3 linked regions of the Caenorhabditis elegans genome follow. The protein of the gene in region 3 purifies or fractionates together with the protein of the main gene of each other region. This does not show direct contact. Each region holds a gene or a part of one and is shown on either strand. Other genes may lie near its edges.

Region 1 (9,431 bases), on a different chromosome or scaffold from region 3:
GGAGTTGAAAATGGTTCATATCGTAGGTTTTATAATGTTTTGGAATCTAGTGTTACGATTTTTGAAAAGGTTTGGAGGCATGGAGATAGATCACCTACGACTACATTTAACGTGGATCCATTCCAAGAGGATAGTTGGACATTTGGAGGTGGAGGATGGGGACAGCTTTCACCGGTAATGATTGTTCATATGGAGTTAATATAGTTGTTTTGGATACCTTTCAGCTCGGAATGAATCAACATTTAACTCTTGGAAAGAAGCTTCGCAATCGTTATGTCAACACAGGAAACTCCACCCACAACTTCTTACCAGCAGTCTATGATCAAAAAACAATGTACATACGATCTACGGGAATCAATCGAACTTTGATCTCAGCCACTTCAAATATGCTCGGAATGTATGGACAAGACGGCTACGGTAGCTCGGCTGGAACTGATTTTCCAGATGCTCAGGGATGGCCACGTGGCTTCGTTCCTATTCCAGTTCATACCGTTGATTATGACAGTGATCATGTGAGATTTTGGGCTATTTGAATCAATAAAAAATTGGAGAATAAAGGTGAAGTATAGAAAGTATTTTACATCGCTCCACGCAATAATGCCCAAATATCGTAGTCAGGCTATCTTAATTTTGGAAGTGAATAAAACACATTTCTAAAAGTTTTATTTTTTAATTGCGTTTCAATTATTTGTATTCAAACTTTCTAGGGAATCTAACCTACAACAATGCTCGGAATTACTCAAAAAATCCGTACTGTTGGAAAATTTGGCAATTTACCAAAACTTTGAATTGGTGTGTCTTATTATGAAATTTCGACATATTAGACTATTGTACTATTTAGACTAGATCGGAAACTTTAAAACTATATTTAATCAGAAGCAGTTGTTTTAGATTGGAAATATGGACTGCATCTGCCCACGTCGTGAATGGCTCTGGAATATTGCTCAACAATCGGACGAAATGAAGAACTGGAGAAGCTCAGTACCAGTTTCATCAGTAATCGACAAACTAACGTCACTGGTTAATCAAACATGGAGTCTAGAAGATTTCTGGACTGTCCCGGATGCCTTATTCATTGAACAAATATATTTTAATGAATCACTTCGAAAAGAGAATACATGGTTCAATGATGATTTTTATAGTCAAATTGTGGCAGTAAATGATCAAATTTATATGTATCAATACGGAGTATTCAGTACGTTGTTTTTCTAAGAACATTGTATGTAATAATTTTTCAGATAGTACTATTAATATGAACAACATGAATATTGGCCTTGAGCTTCTGAAAGTACGATCCGGACCTCTTATGAATGATATGATGGATAGAATTAATAAGAAAAGTGATTGTACATATGGAAAAAATACACAAGGGTGTGATTGGATAAATGGACTCAAGTACTTCGTTTATTCAGCTGTGGGTTTTTTGGTAGTAACCTTAAGAAGCTTCTGGAAATTTTTTAGTTGTACATGTTATTCACAATTGAATTATTACATTAAACATTTTTTTTCAGCACGATGAGACCGTATACGCAGTGCTAGTAGCTCTTGGCATCGAACGATTTGCTATTAAACCTCACGGATATCCACTTTATTCCGCTGCCGTATCGGTTGAATATTGGAGAAATACTACTGATAACGCTGACTATTTTAAGGTAGGTTTGTTCGGTAAAGCAATATTGTAATATCTAAGTTTTGAAGCTGGTTTACCACAAACAATCTGGAGATGACTTTACTGTGATGACGAAGGAGATTACTGGATGTGGAGGAGATTACTGTTCAATGAATGTGTTGAATCAAATTGCAAACAATTTAAAACCAGATCAACCTATTGATCAATGGTGTCTCGTTACCGGATCCTCGAACTCTTCTTCACTTTTATTTTTGATTATATTCACTTTCATTTCAAAATATATTTTATTCTAGAACACTATATGATATTCATAAATATTTATTGATGTATGATAAATAAAATACACTTTTTTCGCTTTAAAATTAAAATTATGGCAATAATGTGCGTAGGTAGGTTGTTTCCTTTTGAATGGATCTATCGTCTTCTCTTTCTGCAGCATTGGTTATTTCCACAAAGTGAGAATCCAGTTGAACAATTGCATTGTGAACCACTCATTGCACATGGTTCGACTTGCAACGGGCAGTTCTGTTGACAGGCGTTCTGGCAAGCTGGCAGACAGAATTCAATTTGGGTCAGAAGTTGAGTTTTACATTGATCAACGCACTGATTAGCACATTGTGGAGCACATGTCACAGTTTCTTCCATTGGTTTTTTAAGAACAATTTCCAATTTGAAAGTTGGTTCTGCAGATTCCTTCACGATCTGAAAAAAAACAACGATATTTTAACAATTTGCCAAGCAGAACTCTATCAGCTGATATTTCAGTTACAGTACTTCAACGCAAGATGATCTACAACTGTCAGTACAAGCTGTGCTGCATTGTGGAACACTTTGGCTGTTCTGTTGAACACATGAAGTTTGGCAAGATTGGGTGCAAGCTGGCATACAGTTGTTGTCAGCCTAAAAATCTTCAGTTTTTGCAGAAAGTTCTAAATTTTCTGACCTGTGGAATTACAATTTCAAATTGATAATTTTGAATACACTTTGAATCACAGACAGGTTGACAAGCTGGAGCACACTGCTTGGAGCTCTGATCATTCATTGGGATCGTGAATGTGTATGTCTCCATACAAGATGGTTGGCAAGCTGGTTGACATTGTGGCTGGCAAGATGGCGTCGGGGGTGGAGTGGTCATTACTGGAAGTTTAAGAGTGAAGCTTATGCATTGTGGATCACAAGCTGGTTGGCATTGTGGAGCGCATGATGGGGCTGCAGTAGTCATTGGAATGGAGATAGTGTAGGTAGTTGCCTGAAAAGAAAAAAACTATGGTGGTTATTATAATTTTAATTTATGTTTATTTACAGTTCTAAACTTTTCCTGTTGTGTTGTTTTTTCTTCAAATTTTATATCATATTTACCTGCTGGACACACTCTTGAGTGCAAGCCGGTTGGCATTGTGGAACACAGGTCTTTGTGATTGGAACGGTTGTTTGAACAGTGATTTGTTGTACACAAAGAGGTTCGCAGGCCGGTTGACATGCTGATGGACAGCTATTTCCTTGATTCCCTTTGGAGTAACTTTGTTGTATAGTAACTTGGTATTGAGACTGAATGCAAGATTGCTCACAAGTTGGTTGACAAGCGGGAACACAATTATACTGACGTTGCTGTTTCTGTTGAGAATTCATTTGTTGTACTTGAATCTTGTAAGTTTGAATGCATTGTTGATCACATGATGGTTGGCATTGAGGAATACATTGTGGAGAAGAAGTTGAGGTTGAAGGGGTTTCATCAATCATATTAATTTGAACCGAGAAGTTTGGCTGAGCAGCTACACATTCCTGAGTACATGCTGGTTGGCATTGTGGAACACAAGAAGACTGTGGGATGTACTGTTGAGACAGTTGCTGAGGTTGTTGATAGCTGTTCTTGATCTTCAGCACAATTTGAGCAACAATACATTTAGTCTCACAAGCTGGCTGACACTCTGGGACGCATTGTTTTGGAAGCGAGATAGTTGTAGTAAAGGTGTCAGTACAAGATGGAAGACAAGCTGGCTGACACTGAGAAACGCAGTGAAGTGGGGCTGGAGTCGTCGTGTAAATAGCAACACATCCTGGATCACAAGCTGGTTGACAGATTGAGATGCACACTTTGGTTACTGGTGGAACTGTTGAAATGCCTGAAGACCCCGAAGAAAGATACTGATAAACACATTGTGGCTGGCAAGCTGGTTGACAGGCTGGAATGCATGTTTCAGGAGCACGAGTTGCTTGTGTTGCTTGAGAAGTTACGATCTGAATCTGAAGCTGTCTCTCTACACATTGTGGTTGACAAGCGGGTTGGCAGGCCGGGATACATGTTTCTGTCGTGGTAACTGCTTGAACACATTGTGGAGTGCACGCTGGTTGACAAGCCGGAATGCAGGAAGCTGTTGTTGGTTGAGCTGTAGTTTGAATAGAAACAGTGACCGATTGAATACATTGTGGAGAACAGGTTGGCTGACACTGGGAGGGACATTTCTGGGCAAGTGGCATCTTTTGAATAATCACTTCATACCGCTTCATGACATTAATACACTGAGCGTCACATGTTGGTTGGCAAGCAGAGACACATGATCTTGATGGGGCTAAGGTTGTGGTCTGAAAAATTGAATATTTTTTTGGTTGTGAAAATTGGTCGTTCAGACCGAAGTACGCATGAATTCTTTGACATTTATAGATACAGCAGCTTGAACGCATGTTGGTTGGCAAGATTTGATGCACATATCAATGCAATAAGATTTATTTGGCTGAGCTGTGCAACTGTTGGCACATGATTGAGCACAGGCTTGTGGGCATTGAGAAGCCTTGGTTTGTTGGTTTACAACTACCTGTAATTATATTATTTTATTTGGGTTCAAAGAATGGTAAAGTAGTGCCTTAATTGGTGGAAAATTGGACGATGAGCTCGTTGATGTAGATGGAGTGCATGCCTTATTGCATGTAAATTGACATGTCTTATCACAAAGAAGCTGTGGCTGATGGGAGTTCCTTACACAAGAATCTACACAAGACTTTTGACATGATGGTTGGCATACCGATGTTTGAGCCTGAAATTTCAGACTTGTACTACAATTCCATTCCACAAAGACTTGCCTTATTGGCACAAGAACATCCGCTTGATTGTGGCTCATTTGAGCATTTGCATCGTTGCATTCCACTCCCAATCGGATAACAATTGCATTTCGATTTTTGTGACAGTTGCGCACACGGGCATTGTCGCTTGGCTCGTGTAATCAAGCTCTAAAATGTATGGGATATTAACATGAGTCAGACGTGATAATCAAGTGAGCGACAGGTCATTGTTTGTTGAATTTGCGACATGGCACCGGTTTATTTGTTCTTGTGTTATTTGTATGTGTGAATGTGGGAAAATGTCATAGAAAGGCGGAACCCTTCTCATGGACATGAAATATGATATGGTTCACTTGAGAATGGCGAGACTTGGAACACTTTGCCGAGACAGGTCATCAGTCGGTCAAAATACAAGATATTGCGAAGATCGAGAGATTATAAAGAGTCATGGATGTGCAATGAAAATACTGTAGGCGCGTAGTGTTTAGCTATAAATTGGGATGATCAGGGAAACTAACGTAATTATTTTTCAATTACTGTAAACTACTAATTACACAACTATAGAAAAATAATTGAAAAATTGCACATTTTTAACAAAAAATAAAGACAACCAAAATATGAGCTACATAATTTAAGCAAGGGATTGTAAAAGTTGAAAAAGGAAATACGGTGTTTCTGCATTGATTTTTACTGGAAAAATAAAAATTTACTAGAAAAATAAAAAAAAAACAGTGATATTGGGAGAAAATGTTTCATAGGAAGATTTTGGACTACGTTTTCAAAAGTTGAATAAGAGATTGTAGAATAAGGAAAATGGATGAGAGATATTAGAGGTATAATTTTATTTTATTTTTAATATATCAAAAATTACCTGTTCTGAATCCACAAGGTATGATCCAATAACTATAAGTAATAATATAATGTTCGTCTTCATATCGTTTATTCGTAGAACTCCTCTCGGCGGTACTGCTGGCCGACGACAGTGAGGGAGGTGCTCTTTTGGTGCTCCGCTTCCTTCCGCCACTGTCTTATATACGTCTGTCATGTTGCCGCGGCGGTAGCCATCAGGCGGCAAAAAATTGTAGGATGCTCCTCCTTTCCGTCTCGATGCACCAGGAAGGAATTTACAGGAAGAAGACGAAGAATGGAGGAGACGCAAAAAAACGGATCAACTTTTTGCATCGGATCGTCGTCCGAGGACCGACGGAAATTGACGACTAGATTTTGGATTTTTGGTGGATCCTTGACACGGCCTGAAAAAAGTGTCTAAAGTGCTCAATACGATGTTTGTACAGGGTGGGAATCTCTATGTATTTTGATCCATTCAAAAAGTTGTCTCAAGGGATGTACGCGTATTTAGACAGATCAAAAAGTTGCCGGTGGTCTTCATTGCCGGAATGAGGGATCTTAAAGTTTTCAGTATACATTTTATGTTCCAAGTGTTCGACAATTCTTCAGGGAAAAAACGTAGTTGATCATGTCTGAGCTTAAATCATTTGAATTTGTTTTTGGATTTAATTGAATATGTTTTTTTTTGTGAATATATTTACAATTCAAGTATCAGAAACTTTTCCAGTTACACAATTTCTTTGAATATTACAAAGTAACTATCAAATAAAACTTTATCACGGGAAACACTTGTAAGTAGTAAGGAACTTGAAATATTACTTAAATCCCGTTTTTCCAACTTGGTAATGTCTAAAAGTGTTTCTTCGTACCTTCATAATTCAACACCCTGCAGAAAAACAATATTTCTTTTGATGAAATTGCATATTGTTCATTTGATTTTTTCTCTTTCAAAAAATGCCAACCTATTCATTTTCAAAGTCCGTCACTTGCCATCAAACAAAAAAAAACAAGTCAAGTTGGTCATTGCCAAGATGCGCAAAAAGTGATCATTTGATGCTCAACAATGCGTAAGCATGTTCCACACATTTCTCGCCTCCACAATATGTTTCTTGCCGGGTTATTTGGTTATTTCGTTGCCTTCCGCAATTGTCCGAGAATGAGACTGTGTACGTTGCAAAACCGTAAATACACAACGCATTATCCCACCAGTGGTGCCTTCTTCTGATTTTTGACTGGCAGTGGAGCATGTGGGAGGATTAAATGTGAAACAAAACGGGAAGGTGATGATGATGCATTGCCGATAGACACGGAGAAGCTTCATTTCCTTTTTTAGGATTGCCATTCTTCTTTGTAATCAAGACAGTGGAGACGGAGAGAAAGTGAAGGAAGTTGAGAACATTTTGACCGATGACCGTTGTGATTGACAAGAAAAGGAGTACTCGTGTGATCTTTGTTTCCCGAGATTGACGGCTTCTCCTACACTCTTGTCTATTTTAGTGTAACTATCAAAATTTACTATTTTTACTGTAGTTTCTCTGTTACTCTTGCATCCGATTACTCAACTATTGCAACTCTTATCTCATTTATCTTTGGGTGATTCCCTTTTGACCTTCAAGCTTATTTCAGCTTCAAAAATAATTCAGGATTATTTTTGCCTCACTCTTTTTTGGAGCTGGTTCAATACATATTTAGAAAACTAAGCGTTCATAAAACTTAAATATTTGTATTGATTCTTGTCTATTTCAATTCAGAAAACGAAACAATTATCGTGAGAGAGTAGTATTTTGGTGTGCACCTATGATATTAATTATGTAGTGACGTGGTGCAGCTGGAAACATTGAAAATCTATACGTGCCAATTGCAAAAATAAAATGCACACTTGTAGATCCTCGATATCATTTTATGAACTTTTCACTAATAATTCACTCATGAATATTCCAAGATTTTGTTCATGTTCTAGACAGAAATAGTTCATTCAAAGTTTATTCATGGAAGACGAAAACTAAGAAATAAGTTCTATTTTTGAATATTACGTTATTCGATCAGTAATTCATACGAGCATTCCACATACCCATATCACCTGTTTCCGTCTCGAATTGTATTTTGATAAGCTTACAATTTAAAAAAAGAAATTTCAATTTTTTATTTTAATTTTTTATTTTTTATTAATTTGTAATTTTTTTTCAACATATATTGTGACGCTCGTGTTGTTGAAATACTCCAAATGCATATTCACTATTTATCCGGGATTTGTGTTCTATTCCTAAAATGCCACACATATCCTCCTAGACAGTCTAATGCTGGCTAGTAACATGACACCGTAATCTGACACCGTTTTATTTTCGAAAATGTGTTTCACTCTTTTGACCGTAACCCGGACAATTCCGGAAAATACTTTTCGGGTAGCAGCGTTGTTGTGATTTACGTGGGTTGCGCATCTAATTCATTGTTTACTTCTTGAAGATACACGTAACACGAAACTTGCTTCTTTTCCCTCATTTTTTGTTCATCTTATTTGCACGTGAACAATGGGTGAGTTGGAAATGTGTGAATGATTGTTTGAGCTCAAGACGGTGCGGAAAAGAAGAAGCGTTCTTTGGCAGAGAAGACGAATTGATCTCGCGTTGATTCTTCCGGTTGAAAAGCACTGAAGTTTCACACGTGAAAAATGATGAAAGCAGCAAGTTGCTCACTGATATTATTTTTGGATGGTTGCTTAAAATGCACAGAATGTTAATTATCGGAAACTTAGCCTGAAATCTGACAGTCTAAAAAGTCCTCGGTAACAATATATTCCCTCAAAACAAATTCTCTAAATTAATCTGAACCAGTTCTCAAATTGTTAAGTGAACAAAGATTATTTCTGAAATTTGAGAAAATGTTATTTACAATCAGCGTAATTAATCTCTAATTTCAGCTCTCAAGCTCATTTTACTTTTAGAATGCGGAAGCAACAACCTAGTTGTTTCAATTCTCAGTTGATCATAAATCCATTGAACTTTATTTGTATCTTTACATATCTGCACTAAGTGGGAATTATATTATACAAAATGTATGTTTAGGGATTTGTAACAAGGAAGAAAAGAAGGAAAAGAAGCAGCAGTAAAAGAACTTTGATCATTGAGAAAAGGATCAAGAAGCTTCGTTTAGCCAAAAAATATAATCAGTTTAGAATGGGTGAGTCAGATTTTTGTGAATATATTTTCTTCTGTTAAAAAACTTGTTGTGTTGAAGCTGTGAAACAAAATAGCAGTAAGGAAGCTCACTAGAGACATACCTGATATAATTTTTACCACTTGAGTTGATTTAAGAATAAGGAATGATTAGTATTAAAGTGAAGTTTATCTTCTATCTTATAATAAAGCTATGATCACATAATCTTCAACAAAAACTACACGCATTCCAGGAATCTCATCAAATTTATTGTCAGTAATCGACAAGCTGATTTTTGGATAGCTTACAAATAAATGCTTGAAGACACTTTGGTTTATTATTTAACAAAATTAACAAAATTATAAAAAGCCAATCAGTACAGGCAATGATAATTTTGAGTTGACCTCGTCTGGGCAAAAAATATATACTAAATTAACATAAACTATATAAATATATATGTGCTGATAAAGTTCTTAATTAATATACTTACGGATGCTTGAAACAGTTTAAAATATTTTGGAAATACTTCAACTGCTAACTTCAAACACATATTTTTTGGAAGTTTAAACTTTCTGACTCCTTTTTCAATTTCTCAATTCTTACACGTTTCTTCAATAAAGCTACCGAGTGATGGATGATCGTTGTTTTGAATCTGCTCAACAACTTCCGTCTTTCAACAGAGAAGAGTTCCTGTTTTTCGGTCACATCATCAACTCACGCTCGGATGCAATTATGCCGTCGT
Region 2 (6,732 bases), 1.8 Mb from region 3:
AAAAGTTGTGAATAAAATGCAAAAACAATTGATAATAGCTCTAGGAATTCAAGTAACAATACCTATATTCGTGTTTTTTGTTCCTATGTCAATTCTGGTTATTATGATTATAAAAAATCAAGTTAACCAAGGTACTTATTTTATTGTATTTTATTTAAAATTAAAGATACACGATCTTGATATTTTAGCAGCCACAAATATTTGCGTTATTCTGGTTGCACTTCATGGAATAGTTTCAACTATAACAATGCTCATTGTTCACAAACCATATCGAGAAACTGTTTCAAGTATATTCAATTGTTTAATATCCAATAAAACACTGCCCGTGAATAGATCTCAAGTTTGGATTACCGTTGGTGAACACAAAATTTTTGCTAAAAACGCAAGCTAATATTTGAATAAAGATCTTTGAGATTAACATTAAAATTAAAAGGAAATTGAACAGATTTTTAATCAGCTAATACAATTCTGACCAGTCAAATTCAATCAGAAACCACGCAGTGCCCAGAGCAATAGAGCAGCTGAAAGTATTCATATTCAAGACTTTTGATACTCGTTCTTTTCATGAGTTCATTTGTCTTTGTATAACTCATATGTGCTCACAAAATATAAGCTTTTTTGCAACTGATGAATTTTATTCTGGAGTCCTACATGTTCTTACTTCAATAGAATTACCGATTCATTTATTTGGTGCATATATTATTGTTGCGAAGACACCAAGAAAAATGAGAACAGTTAAAGCAAGTATGCTCGCACTTCATTGTATTGGAGCATTTGTAGATTTTTATCTTAGTTTTATTGCAATTCCAGTGTTGACTCTTCCTGTTTGTTCAGGATATCCACTTGGATTTTCATTAGTTTTAGGAATTCCAACAGATGTTCAAGTTTATTTAGGTATCTCATTTGTTGGCGGTTAGTCTAAAGAAGGATTAGTAATACCTGAAAACAACTTATTTTCAGTGATAGCTGTTACAATTTTATTATTTTTTGAAGACCGTCATCACCGTTTAATTAATAGTAACATTTCGAATGGTGCTAGAAACTGGAAACGTGTTCTGTATTCAATTATTCATTATATTATTTCGGTCACTTTTATTGCACCGGGATATATGAACATTCCGGATCAACTACAAGGAAGAGCTACTGTTCAACAGGTTGGTTCGTCGTTACCAAATATGAAACGAATATGAAATCTACCCATAGTCTGTATCAAAGGGGAGCGGCAATAAAAAACGTTCAACAATTCAAAAACTATCGAGTTCAAAAAACTTTATATGCAATTTATAGTGATAGAGTTTTGAACCGCTAATTCAACGTTTTATTCTAACAATTATATTTCAGGAGATTCCATGTATCCCAAAAGATGTCATAAATCGACCTGGTTATTTTGTACTATCAATCGTGAATACAATTCCTTGCCTTTGCCTTATTTTCATGTTTTCACTCATCATTCCTCAAGCTTTATATTTTGTTCTTTCTATTTTTTGGTATCTCTACCACACTGTTTCAAAATCACAGGTTACAAATCGCCTCCAAAAACAATTTTTCTTTGCTTTATGCATTCAAGTATTCATACCAATTTTTGTGTTATCATTTCCCGTTCTATACATAGTTTTGGCAATTTGGTTCAACTATTATAATCAGGGTATGAAAGATTTCGCTCAAAACTGAACTGATTTAATGATATTTTTTAGCTGCCACAAATTTTGCACTTTTTGGAATTGCACTTCATGGAATTCTATCAACGCTGACAATGCTTTTTGTGCATACTCCATATCGTGAAGCAACTTTCCAAATATTCCACGTCAGTACGAAACGAACTGCAAATGGTTCTCAACAAATATGGAGAACAACCGTTGGAACACAAGCACAGCAAAGTATTTGGTAAAATACGTATTGAATGATTGTACTCATTTTTTTTGTTAAATGCAACTTGATAAAATAATTTTCAATATATATTAATACATACAGTAATCACATAAAAATTGGTAACATAAATAATTAGTTTCTACTTCATTTTAAACATCTTCGAAATGTGCAAACTTCCTGGATTTCCACAATTTTCAATTCTCCCTGACGTTCATTTGGAATCAGAACTGCTTCATTCTGCAATGAATCACTGAAATATAAGTGCTATCCAGCAATGGTTAGGCGATTTTTGTTGCATCAAAGTTTAGACTTTTGCAAAATTACAGGTGTTTTTGATTTTTGTGAAATGCCGCTATCATTTTCAAATCTTTGGTTCTGGTTTTGACTGAAGATAAAACAAGTGGGGATTTTATTTGCATATTTTAAAAATATACCAGAAAGGTTAAAAATCATTATGAAAAAATTCAGGAAATTTGGAAAAACACTGTCGCATATTTTACCCATCACCACATTTTAAAATTAAGAATGAAAAAATAAGTTCAACATAAAATTTTATGAGATGTTTCTAAATTTTTCTGCTAGAACTTCTTGAAACTTTTTGACGGTAAGCAAATACATTTTTTTGAAATTATAAATTTCCCACTTTCTCGGTTGTTCAAAATTTGCAAACGGCGGTTATAATAATCGTAAATCAAGTTGCATAAAAAAAGAGTCGTATGTAAAATAAAAATGAGATTCAAGTATAATCGTATCAAAAGAAAAGAAACAAGATATTTATGCCTTCCATCAAGATGGTTATTTGATCGATATGCTATTCACCTTGGTCAAAACACAACGATCACATTTTATCATAGAAAAAAGTCGTTTTCCTTACTTTCTAGTTACTACAGTTGAAACAAGTGTTATTTCCGATATCCTAATCAATAAAAGTAACTAACCGAAAAATGCACGTGTTTGGCCTGCATTCTGATCTCTGCCATCTCTTGTGGAAATGTATCTGTCCTCCGAATTTGCGTTGGTATGTTTATGTTTTGATTTAACTTTGCTTTGGGTTTTTCTTTACAAGACAAGATGCATCCCATTGGGCTGAAATTAAATATTCGTTATCAGGTTAACAGTTGTGTTCGGAATTTGGAGAGAGAGAGAAAAACAAAAAAGTTTGAAAAAACCCGTCAACGCATTTGAAAAAGAAATTTTCTTCAATCGTCTATCTGTTCTTATGTTCTCCACTGTGGTTTGCCTCGTGTTTACCTAGAAGGACAAAAATGGAGAGAAGACGATGGCTCGTCGGCTGAGTTGACCTCCTTCAAAAAAACAGCTGTGAATTTAACATTTGGCTACAAGAAGACAACAATCACATTTTCATGAAACATTTTGAAGATAACTTTTAAAAGGTGATCAATGACTGCAAAATATATAGTCGTATTGATTTAATATTTTATGAGAACGTTGCATATTATTTACAAATAAATCTAAAATAATAATAGCTGTGAATATTAATTTTTAATTTTTCAATTTTAAACGCGACCATATTTTGTCCAAAAATGAAACGGTTAAAAGTTCATAATTCTCAGTATATGTAGATTTTACCTAAAAATTATTCAATATCGTTTTGCTAACTTAAAATTTTCAGGCAACTTTGTGGCAAAATGGGAATTCAAAAAAAATGTAGACTATTGTTCTATCTCTTTTAGGCAGTTTCGCACTATAAGAGGCATTTTTAACATTTCCCCGGTGGCGACCATTAAAAAGCTGATAATCTTCAAGAAAACTTTTGGTGAAAATGGAAAAGCTATTGCTGCGATCGCAAGTACATATAAGGTCTATTATATTTTACCTAACCAAGATTTTTTCCTTCGGGCGAAAATTAGGTACGAAGTTAGGTCCGAATATTAAATGATTCTAGTGGTCATATTATAATTTTCTTACATTCTCTGAAAATTGTATAAATAACTTTAGCTTTCATTGACTTTTATTCAATAATCAATTGACATATTAAACAATTAAAATCGAAATGCATTTAGAAAACTTGACCGAGAATTTTTCCCAATTCGTTAATAGCATTATTAAGCGCCGCATCTGGTGAAGCTGGTGTTGTTGCTACAGTGATCACTTCCGTAGCTGATTCTTCTGTAACTCCGGCAGCAGCTTTGGTGACAGCACCTTCGGTGGCGGCGGCATCGGTAGCGGAAGCTTCGGTGGCGGCAGCGTCAGTAGCGGAAGCTTCAGTTGTGGTAGATTCGGCGGCAGGAGTTTCGGTGGCAGCGGCTTCAGTTGTGGATTCGGTGTCAGCTGCTTCAGTCGTGGATTCAGCGCTGTTAGCAGTTGCTCCACCAGCTTGTCTCTTCCTTCTCGACGGAATAACTGGAACGAAGAAGTCATCTTCCAAAATTTCCTGAATCTTTTGCGCCAGTTGTTGTACTCCGTGTTCCACAGGAAGACCAATAATAGTTTTGTCGAGTCCAAGACAAGTGAGTTGCGTGATTTCGATTTTCTTAGAGAATCCGTTTGTAGTTGCATTCATATCAATAACAAATCCCTCATATCTTCTGTCATCGCGATTACAAACGAGAGTGACACCGGCGGTGCTTCCAATAGCGACAACACTGGCAGAACGGACATCACGAGTTTTGTTGTGACGAGCTGGATATAGTTAAATACAATCACTAATCTACTTTGAATAGTTCGAGATAACTAACCGAAAAGGAAGTTCAAATTCTTTTCATCTCTATCACAGACAACAAGAGCAGTCACTTTTCTGTTGTATTTGACATATCGAATGATTGGTGGATAGAATGCTTCCTCAGGGATACCAGGGAACTCACCCACATATGCTCTCAAACGTGGGCACTCTGAAATTGGTAAGATGTTTATTTATTAATGGACTACGGTTTACGTTTATGACGATGTTCACGACTTCCACTATCGTAATCCCAGTACACTGATCCATAAACCGGAGGTGGATAGTAAACATTTGATGAATAGGAAGAAGCCGGTGGATTATTGGCTGGTCCTGATCCGTATTGAGCACAAACTGCGGTAACTGCCAAAGAGATAGCAAGAACAACTAACATCTTGGTGAATGATGTTCTTTGTGGAGTTGTAAAGGTTTTTATAGAAAGAAATCAGAGGGAAAACATAAAACATCACGTCACAAAGATGGATGTTTTGTGAACGAATTTTGTTTTTTCCAAAAGTTTCAATTCTATTCAGACGGATATCCGAATGAAAATAAAATGAATAATATCAAACTGTATGTCTGATAGTTTTCAGAGTTTATACACACTGCGATTGGCTAAGACTTAATTTTTCAAACATTAGTCTGTTAGAGCATTTTACAAAATCGGAGACCAGAATCTAATAACTGAAACATAATATATAGAAACATTGTAGATGGATAAAGATGGGAAGGAAGACGTAGTTAATGGTACATACAGTGGCATAAGAGGATAAATTGAAAAACAAATGCAGAGAAAATGAAGAAACTTTGCTTGAAAATTATTTCAAACTTTATATCCCGCGTAGCCATTCGCATGCATCATTCAAATTCAGCCTTTTTGAAGATGTAATGACGAAATTTGTGGTGTTAATGGGTTCATAGGTTTCAGCATCTGAACTAAACTTTTAATTATTTCTCCTATTGAGGACAATTATTTTTTATAAACACCTAGAAGCCACAAAATTAATTCATGAGAAACAATAAAAAACAAAAACTATTTTAATAAAATTCCAGTTTCTAAGTAACTAACTAATGCAAATGTACCATTTTCATCTCTAATTTATCATTATACCTAATTCCTTAAATTTTTTTAAAGCTCTGTACTTTCTGATTTTGTCGACACCCGCTTCTCACTTTCCACACATTATTCCAGAAGTTAACTATATTTCATGAATCATCTTTTTTCTCTTTGTTGTGATGTCATCAATTTTCTTTTGAGACAAGATTTTGTATCTATGTTTTAATATAAACAAACTAGGTTCATTCTCAAAACATTTCTCAATGTATCATGAGCCTAGAAACGCTATATAAAAGGTGTCACCATATTTCTTTTATCATATTCGATTCCGAAAATGCATCTGAATCTTCTAGCTATCTCCGCTCTTTTTGGAGTGATTGCATGCAGCGGATACGGCGGCGACATCACCTACAATAATCATAATAACTTCCACGTTTTACATGATCGACATCATCGCAGTCATCACTCTCGTAGCAACAGCAGAGACAGTGATGAGAGTAAGTACTTACGATATCTAAATTTCAACCATTTATATTTCCAGAATGGGAATGTCGTCGTCTTGGTGTTTTCAATTCGCCAAATCCATTAACTAACCCGTTGTTATCTGCTCCAAAGATTGCTTATTTCAATCGTAATGGAAAAGAATACGCAATTGCTGTGTGCGAAAATCCACAGATTCAAATTCTTGTCGGAAAATCAAGAGGAGCTTCACCAGACTTTACTCAAACTAGAGACTATGCAGTTCTCTCAGCAAGCAGCAAATCTGGATTGACTTTTAAATGCAACAGACGTCATGATCGGTGTGTGATTTTTTGAGTTTTATAAAATTATTTCAGAACATCTATTTACAACACTTTCAATTAATAACTTATTTCAACTCGTTATTTTCAGGTATGAAGCTGTCAACTTGGTTACTGGAAGCATGGCCCGCATCGAAGCACTCGCTTGTATTACTGTTGCTCAAAACGACACAGCTGCGGTAGCTATAGTTAATGGAATTGTTGGCCCTCTGCAGGCAGCCGGACTCCATCTTTAAAATAATTGACATTTCTTATAAGGCTTCTTTATAAAAGATGAATACAGTTTATGGAAGGTTTTATATGCAGTTGTTCATGGTACTTTCTGA
Region 3 (6,596 bases):
GATTCGCATTCATTGACATCAACACACGTTGGATTGTTCTTATCACTTGAAACCTTGAAACCCCAATCACAAATACACTTGTACGTAGTTGTATCGGAAGATGACTGACCAGTTGGATCCACAATACTCTCAATACAATGCCCATGTGGACCACACAATTCAAAAGTTTTCGAGCAAGCGGACATATGATACTGACAAAGAGATCCATGATATCCGGATTGGCACTGACATTCAAATCCGCCACGGTTATTGATACATGTTCCATTGTTCTGACATCCAGCAGTTGTACCATTGTATACTGAGCATTCATCGATGTCAGCTTCACAAGTTGTACCGGTGAAATGTGGAGGACAAAGACAAGTGAATTTGGCGCCAAAAGATGGGATACATGTGCCTCCATTACTACATTTGTTCGGATCGCACGCGTTTATTGCTATCAATTTGTTGATTCCTCTTGAAAGTTAACAATTTATAAAAAATAGTCAAACCTAACTTGTTGTGTCTTACATGATTTGACGTGTCATTTTCACCAATAATCCCCGTCTCCTCATGTCTCTGGCCATTTTATCAGTTTTCCACTTCTTCAAGATATTCACTTCGAGTGTCATATTTCGAAGCTAAAAATTGATTTCAAAAAGAGAAAAAAATGTATGGAATTACCGCTACTAGATAATGTTTTGCAGAATTTAAAACCACTCTCATTGCAGAAGTCTGCGTGTCCTGGCGACTTTTCAAAGTGGTGAACATTTGAGAAGTGTTCTCAATACGTCCAACAAGTTGCTTGAAAGATGCCTGAAAATTATTTTGAATATTGAAAATTGTAATTCGAGTTAATTTTCAAAAACTTCCATAGTTCAAACATTTTCAAACAATTATTCATTTTGAAAAGTTTTATAAAAATAATAGAACTTAATTATCAAAATTTACGTGACCGTTTCTCAGGAAAGTGATTCTTTTTAAATAGTTGTCAAAAAGTAAATTTTTGCGTGATCTCCGACTATCTAATTCCAACTCTTACTCGTAATCCACGTTTCGTTCCTTTTTCTAATCTGACCGTCTATGTTTTAATCAGTTCTTGAAACATGGGCAAGAAGAAGTCTGATACGGCATCCGGTGGAGCTATTCCAGAAGGAGACAATGAGAAAGGAAAGAAGGTTAGTTAAATTTTTCATTATAGTGTTCCCAGAAAACCTATTGATTTTCAGATCTTCAAACAACGTTGCGAGCAATGTCACGTTGTCAACTCATTGCAAACAAAGACTGGACCAACATTGAACGGAGTGATTGGAAGACAATCCGGACAAGTTGCTGGATTTGACTACTCGGCTGCCAACAAGAATAAAGGAGTTGTATGGGACAGACAAACACTTTTCGACTATTTGGCTGATCCGAAAAAGTACATCCCCGGAACTAAGGTAGGATTTTCTAGGAAGTGCGATGGAGTATTAATAAGAAATTTTCAGATGGTCTTCGCTGGTTTGAAGAAAGCTGACGAACGAGCTGATCTCATCAAATTTATTGAAGTGGAAGCTGCCAAGAAACCATCGGCATAAGCCTCTACTAAATAAGAAATCTGTGTGTTAAGCAAAGCAACGTATCAAAAATAAATGTTTTGTAGAAGCTCGTTCATTTTTTTTTTGGATAATTTCAGCAGTCTACCTACAATATCTGGAAGTTTGGAAACATCTGTTTCGTCCACATATATTCTTCCATTTCCAGTCGTTTTGAACGTTATATTTTTATCCTTTCCGGCATGCAACCACACATTTCCATCAACCATTAGAATACGTGATCTGAAATGTTTTCGGACGTAATTTTGAAAAAAAATTAAAGGATTCGTTACCTTGTTTCATATGAATCTTCGATGTGTATTTCTTCATAGTCAATTGAAGATACATGATTTAATAAGCCGAATAGTATTAATGAAAGAAATAACTGTAAGTTAGGTATCATTTGTTGCGAAAATGAAATGAAATTAATGGAGTTGCACGGTGGAGGGTGAATAATTTGTTTATGTCATTGATACCTGATTGGAAATTGAGACGATCCATTTGTTTATAACAGATTATGTAAGAGAACACCTGCCAATGTTTAGGTTATGAGTAACTAGTGGGCCGTTGAATTTGTGTTCGGTTTTAATGAAAAAACTGTTAAGCTGGCTGAAACTCAGGTATCAAAATATGATGGTGTTGAATACTCTCCAAATAATCGCTCTAAAAAAGTGTCAGGCTGTACAGATATAACAAATGTATCTTATTAATAGTTCAAAAATAATATTTCGTGCAAACTGATTGGTCTGGCATGTGGTAAACAAATAAGCCAGCAGTTGAGATGTAGGCAGGCACGAGGTAGGCACGAAGACAATTCCACTGCTTTAATTGGAAATATTTTCAGGTATTAATCTGCTTTTTCAAAAATATTTTCTTACACAACATTTCGCATAAATTTCGAATCATTTATTGTTTTTTTTTTCAATTATTTTCGTTCGCATAAAGGCAGTGTGAGGAATGAAATCATAATATGAAACAACGATGGGCTGGGCAAGTTCCGTAATACTCTTCTATTTTCTTCCATAAGCATAATAATAGTATGGAGATGTATAATAGTAGTAAGGTGGCTGAGCAGCCACAGCTCCAGTCTGTTGAGTTCCTTGCTGATGATTTTGAGTATTTCCAGATTGATCATATTGAGGCGTGTATTGCTGTTGTTGTTGTGGTTGTTGCTGCATTTGGGATGATTGATCATATTGAACCTGTTGGGTATTTCCTGATTGATCATACTGTACTGGTTGCTGTTGAACTCCTTGTTGGTATTGAAGAGTTTGTTGTTGCTGACCCTGTTGCGTTTGTTGTGGATAATACTGTTGTTGTTGTTGTTGGGTTCCTTGAGCATACTGTTGGTTTTGTTGTGGTTGCTGTTGAGCATAAGCTTGTTGGGAAGCTCCACCAGCCTGAGTTTGCTGAGCAACTCCAGTGGTACCAGCAACTGCAGCGGTTGGATAATAGTAATAGTATGGTGTGTAATAACTTGTTGGATAATACAAGTATTGGGCAGAAGCCACAGCAAGAAGTGAGCAAAGAGCAAGGAGGCTGAAAATTTACGAATGAATGATGCACATCCTACCTAATGATAACATAAATCGTTTGCTAGAAAACTTACGTGTTCATTTCGTTCGATTGAAGTGAGCAGAAATGGTGAAGATTTTTCGTTTGATCATTTTTATACCTTATTTCAATGGGTGTGTCTAACCCAATACTGTCATCATCAGTTGCATTCCGAAAAAAACTGCGAAAAAACTCCACGATTGTATGTTTTTCTTTTATTCCATCCATGCCAACCACAAAGTTACTGAGTAAACTCGAGGTCAAGAGAAAAGAGCCCAATCAAAAGAAATAGTGAGAAAGCAAAGAGAGCAAGACTCTGAGTTTGTTGACTTTCAAAAGGACTTCATTGAGAATGGCAGTTGGCGGCAAGCTAAAACGGTTCAATTTGATAATGGTGATAATGATCAAGGCTCAAGATTGATACCTTAGATTGATATTTAATTAAAAGTGCAAGATGCTAAATGGCTATAGTAATAACATTATCAAATTACAAATCTGTAAAACTGACTCATCTGAATCTAAACAATGGGTCAAATTTCTAGTAAGCTCGAAGTTAATAATTACTAAATAATTTTTAACAGAAAACTTTGAGCTTTGAGCACGAAAAATTCGACGACTTTTCATGTAAATAAACGGCTGGAAAATCATTTTCAACTGGTCTAACGTTGTTATGCCAAAAATGATCATTTTCACGGTTTGAACCAAAATTATAAAGAGTTTAGTGACTTTTATGTGATAAACTTCTACAGGGATCTAGCAAACATTATTTTAGTCAATCTCTGAACCTTGGATACCTTCTAAGTCATATGAATCAATAATAACTGTGATCAATTTATGGTCAACCCATGTTTCCAATCTTATTAGTAATATACAATTCCACAAGAAACCACGATAAAGACCACGGGTAAACACTACATTTTTTGTTTGTAAGTCATTTTGTGTTTCTGAAAAATAGCAAACAAAGCAAGGATGTACATGCGTATTTCGGGAGTCCCAAGAACATGTTGTTGACAAGAAAATGACAGAAAAAGTGAAAAGATAGAAATTTGCAGATTTTCAGTATTTCGCGCTTCTTTGATCTACTACTTTGTGTGAAGATGGAATGTGAGGAGAGAGGTGTAGAACAAACTATTTTTAGTTTTTTGGTGATTTGTAGGAGCCACTGATGGAATTTGGGAGTGTGGCGAGTAAGTATAAAATGGTAACGACACACTGGACTTAATCATTCTAAATATAACTTTCCCCAAAATGAAGACGTGAGTCTCAAATTTAATATAAAATTTAATTTGCTTTTGTGAATCAGTTTTTCATCTAGAATTGTTATTTTAACGTTAGTTTTATTGAATCTTTTTAAAATAATAGTTTTGATATTTAGTTTAAATTTTGAAACGTATTACTGTAGACCCAGACAAACTGACAATATAGAACACAGGGTTTTTGGAGTAAGCATCCACTGAGCAGTGGCCTGAAACATGTGAACAAGCACACAAACTATAGAAACTTTTTTTTATTGTATTGTTAACTCGGAAAAATTTGAAACTACACTTTAATGACTCACGAAAACGTTGCTTAGCAGTACCCTATTGGGCTATATATATAGCTTAATTTTTAATAGCTTGATTACTTATTTTTTATAAACATAAGATTTGAGATAAGTTTATTGTTCATACGTTCAACGTCAATTGCTTAATTTTCAGTTTCCTTGCTCTGTTCTCCCTTCTTGCTGTGGCCTCTGCGCAACACTTGTACTATCCAACGAGCTATTATACTCCATACTATTACTATTATCCTACAGCTACAGTTGGTGCAGCAGCCACCCAACAAACAGATTTTAGTAATCAACAAATATATGCCCAACAACCTCAACAACAGCAGACTCAATATGCACAGGGAAATCAACAATATAGTGGAACAGTTCAACGAGATCAATCTGGAAATGTTCAACAAACAGGATCGGTTGCAGCAGCAGCTCAACCTCTGTACTATTACACTTATCCATATTATTACACATATGGAAGAAAGTGAATTTATGAATATTGAAAGATTGCCAAGATTTTAGAGACGAACGATGTATGAAAAGAAGCAAATAAAGTATTTTTGTTTATTAAAGCTTTTCCAAAGTTATACATATGTGAGATCTTATATTAATTATGGCGAGATTAAAGCAATACATTTAGAAACTTAGAATATGATTAGTAAATAAAATGGTACATAAATAATTCATTATAACACTTATTTCCATTTTTTGTACGCCTGAACAAGTTCATCGTCATCTTCCGGAGTAAGCATTTCTCCTTCCATATAGTGTTTTGCTGTCACTTTTCTAGCTCGTTTTTCTTTTCCTTCTTGTTCGTTTTTGAATGATGGAGAGAGTAGGAAAGTTAGCATAACAACAACTGAAAAACTGTTGAGAGTGACTTCTGTGACAGTGACAATTCCATAAGACATAGATTGATAGAAGAATACTTCAGTCATTGTATGGATGGCTGTGAGGATTGAGAGCAGAATGTGAGCAATGTGAATTGAGAAGTTACGAAAGTCGAAGATTAGAACGATTCTGAAAAATAATAACAGAAATCTTCCTTGTTTTTAACTTTTTTGAATATTGAAATAATACCTCAAGATACAAAGCAATGCCAACGGAAGAGCATGAGCTCTAGAAAGAGCTGGCAATGTTGAAGTATAGTGAGATGCAGAATTCTGTTTTGCATAGCACATCCATACACTTCCCATTGCTTGAACTACAACTATTGACATCCATGCTCTGGTGCTTCTCTCCATTTCTGAAAACTAATTTTAAAATTTATATTCAGTTGAACTGCTATTTCAGGAATCTTTCAGGAATCGCACTATACGAATACAATTTTTAGATTAACCCGAAATCAGATACTCCAAATCTCAATTTATTTATTCGGCGTAGTGATTCATTTGTATGAAATTGTGGTATACAAGGTAAAATGGATATAAATTAACTTCCGAAAGGGTTGTGGGATGAAGTTAGCAAAAAATAAATAAACTGCACAGAACAATGTGTTCAAAAGGGAAACGGCATGGGATAGTGTGAATACTCGGGGCAAGATATATAAAATAGAACGGGGGAGGAAGAGACTGGGGGGTACAAACAGGAGAATGGGAAATGTGAGAACACCGTTTCGAAATGGAAAATATAAACGGGAGAGGAAAATAGACAAAAAAACCGGCGAAATGCAAAATGATAAAGCGTTCGGAGATACGTACACACAACACAGCGCTACTACGAACTATCACTATCGGAAGATATTCTAGACATAGTAATTGGGAGAAATGAGCAAATCTCGGAGCACCATGAGTTGATCCTCGTTGAATTGTTGCTCATGCTCACGCCACGAATCTTGATGAGTACGTTTGAACTCCGAAAGAGTACGTTTTACAGCTTCCTGAAAAAAAACGATTCGATGAAATTTTAAAAACTATCGAATTTACCCGTATTGTGGCACTCTTGTCAGTGGCAAA

Evidence for each region.
Region 1: the proteins of ZC116.1 (region 3) and appg-2 fractionate together in Caenorhabditis elegans (co-fractionation; one large-scale study listed by BioGRID). This does not show direct contact.
Region 2: the proteins of ZC116.1 (region 3) and D1054.19 fractionate together in Caenorhabditis elegans (co-fractionation; one large-scale study listed by BioGRID). This does not show direct contact.

The regions. Positions count from the first base shown.
Region 1 is NC_003280.10:8,797,392-8,806,822, reverse strand, and holds appg-2 (Activated in Blocked Unfolded protein response), read right to left. Parts: upstream 5,694-9,431; 5' UTR 5,622-5,693; coding exon 5,559-5,621; intron 4,856-5,558; coding exon 4,709-4,855; intron 4,663-4,708; coding exon 4,492-4,662; intron 4,444-4,491; coding exon 4,261-4,443; intron 4,214-4,260; coding exon 2,990-4,213; intron 2,880-2,989; coding exon 2,574-2,879; intron 2,531-2,573; coding exon 2,405-2,530; intron 2,333-2,404; coding exon 2,045-2,332; 3' UTR 1,934-2,044; downstream 1-1,933. Other genes in the region: pho-13 (intestinal acid PHOsphatase), read left to right, coding at 1-22, 70-174, 225-512, 892-1,195, 1,239-1,414, 1,512-1,652, 1,699-1,923.
Region 2 is NC_003283.11:10,792,019-10,798,750, reverse strand, and holds D1054.19 (Ragulator complex protein LAMTOR5), read right to left. Parts: upstream 2,958-6,732; 5' UTR 2,952-2,957; coding exon 2,808-2,951; intron 2,558-2,807; exon of another isoform or gene 2,513-2,557; intron 2,107-2,512; coding exon 2,014-2,106; 3' UTR 1,934-2,013; downstream 1-1,933. Other genes in the region: srh-184 (Serpentine Receptor, class H), read left to right, coding at 594-912, 961-1,154, 1,342-1,645, 1,695-1,888; ule-3 (Uterine Lumin Expressed/locailized), read right to left, coding at 3,890-4,512, 4,569-4,721, 4,766-4,943; D1054.10 (DUF1525 domain-containing protein), read left to right, coding at 5,941-6,103, 6,148-6,406, 6,498-6,642.
Region 3 is NC_003283.11:12,606,704-12,613,299, reverse strand, and holds ZC116.1 (Prion-like-(Q/N-rich)-domain-bearing protein), read right to left. Parts: upstream 3,475-6,596; 5' UTR 3,333-3,474; coding exon 3,160-3,332; intron 3,090-3,159; coding exon 2,561-3,089; 3' UTR 2,443-2,560; downstream 1-2,442. Other genes in the region: cyc-2.2 (putative cytochrome c 2.2), read left to right, coding at 1,083-1,154, 1,206-1,415, 1,464-1,553; cubn-1 (Cubilin homolog), read right to left, coding at 1-453, 508-617, 661-792, 1,664-1,793, 1,844-1,953; ZC116.5 (Conserved secreted protein), read left to right, coding at 4,353-4,360, 4,802-5,129; erg-28 (putative ergosterol biosynthetic protein 28 homolog), read right to left, coding at 5,337-5,661, 5,722-5,885; psme-4 (Proteasome activator complex subunit 4), read right to left, coding at 6,386-6,520, 6,567-6,596.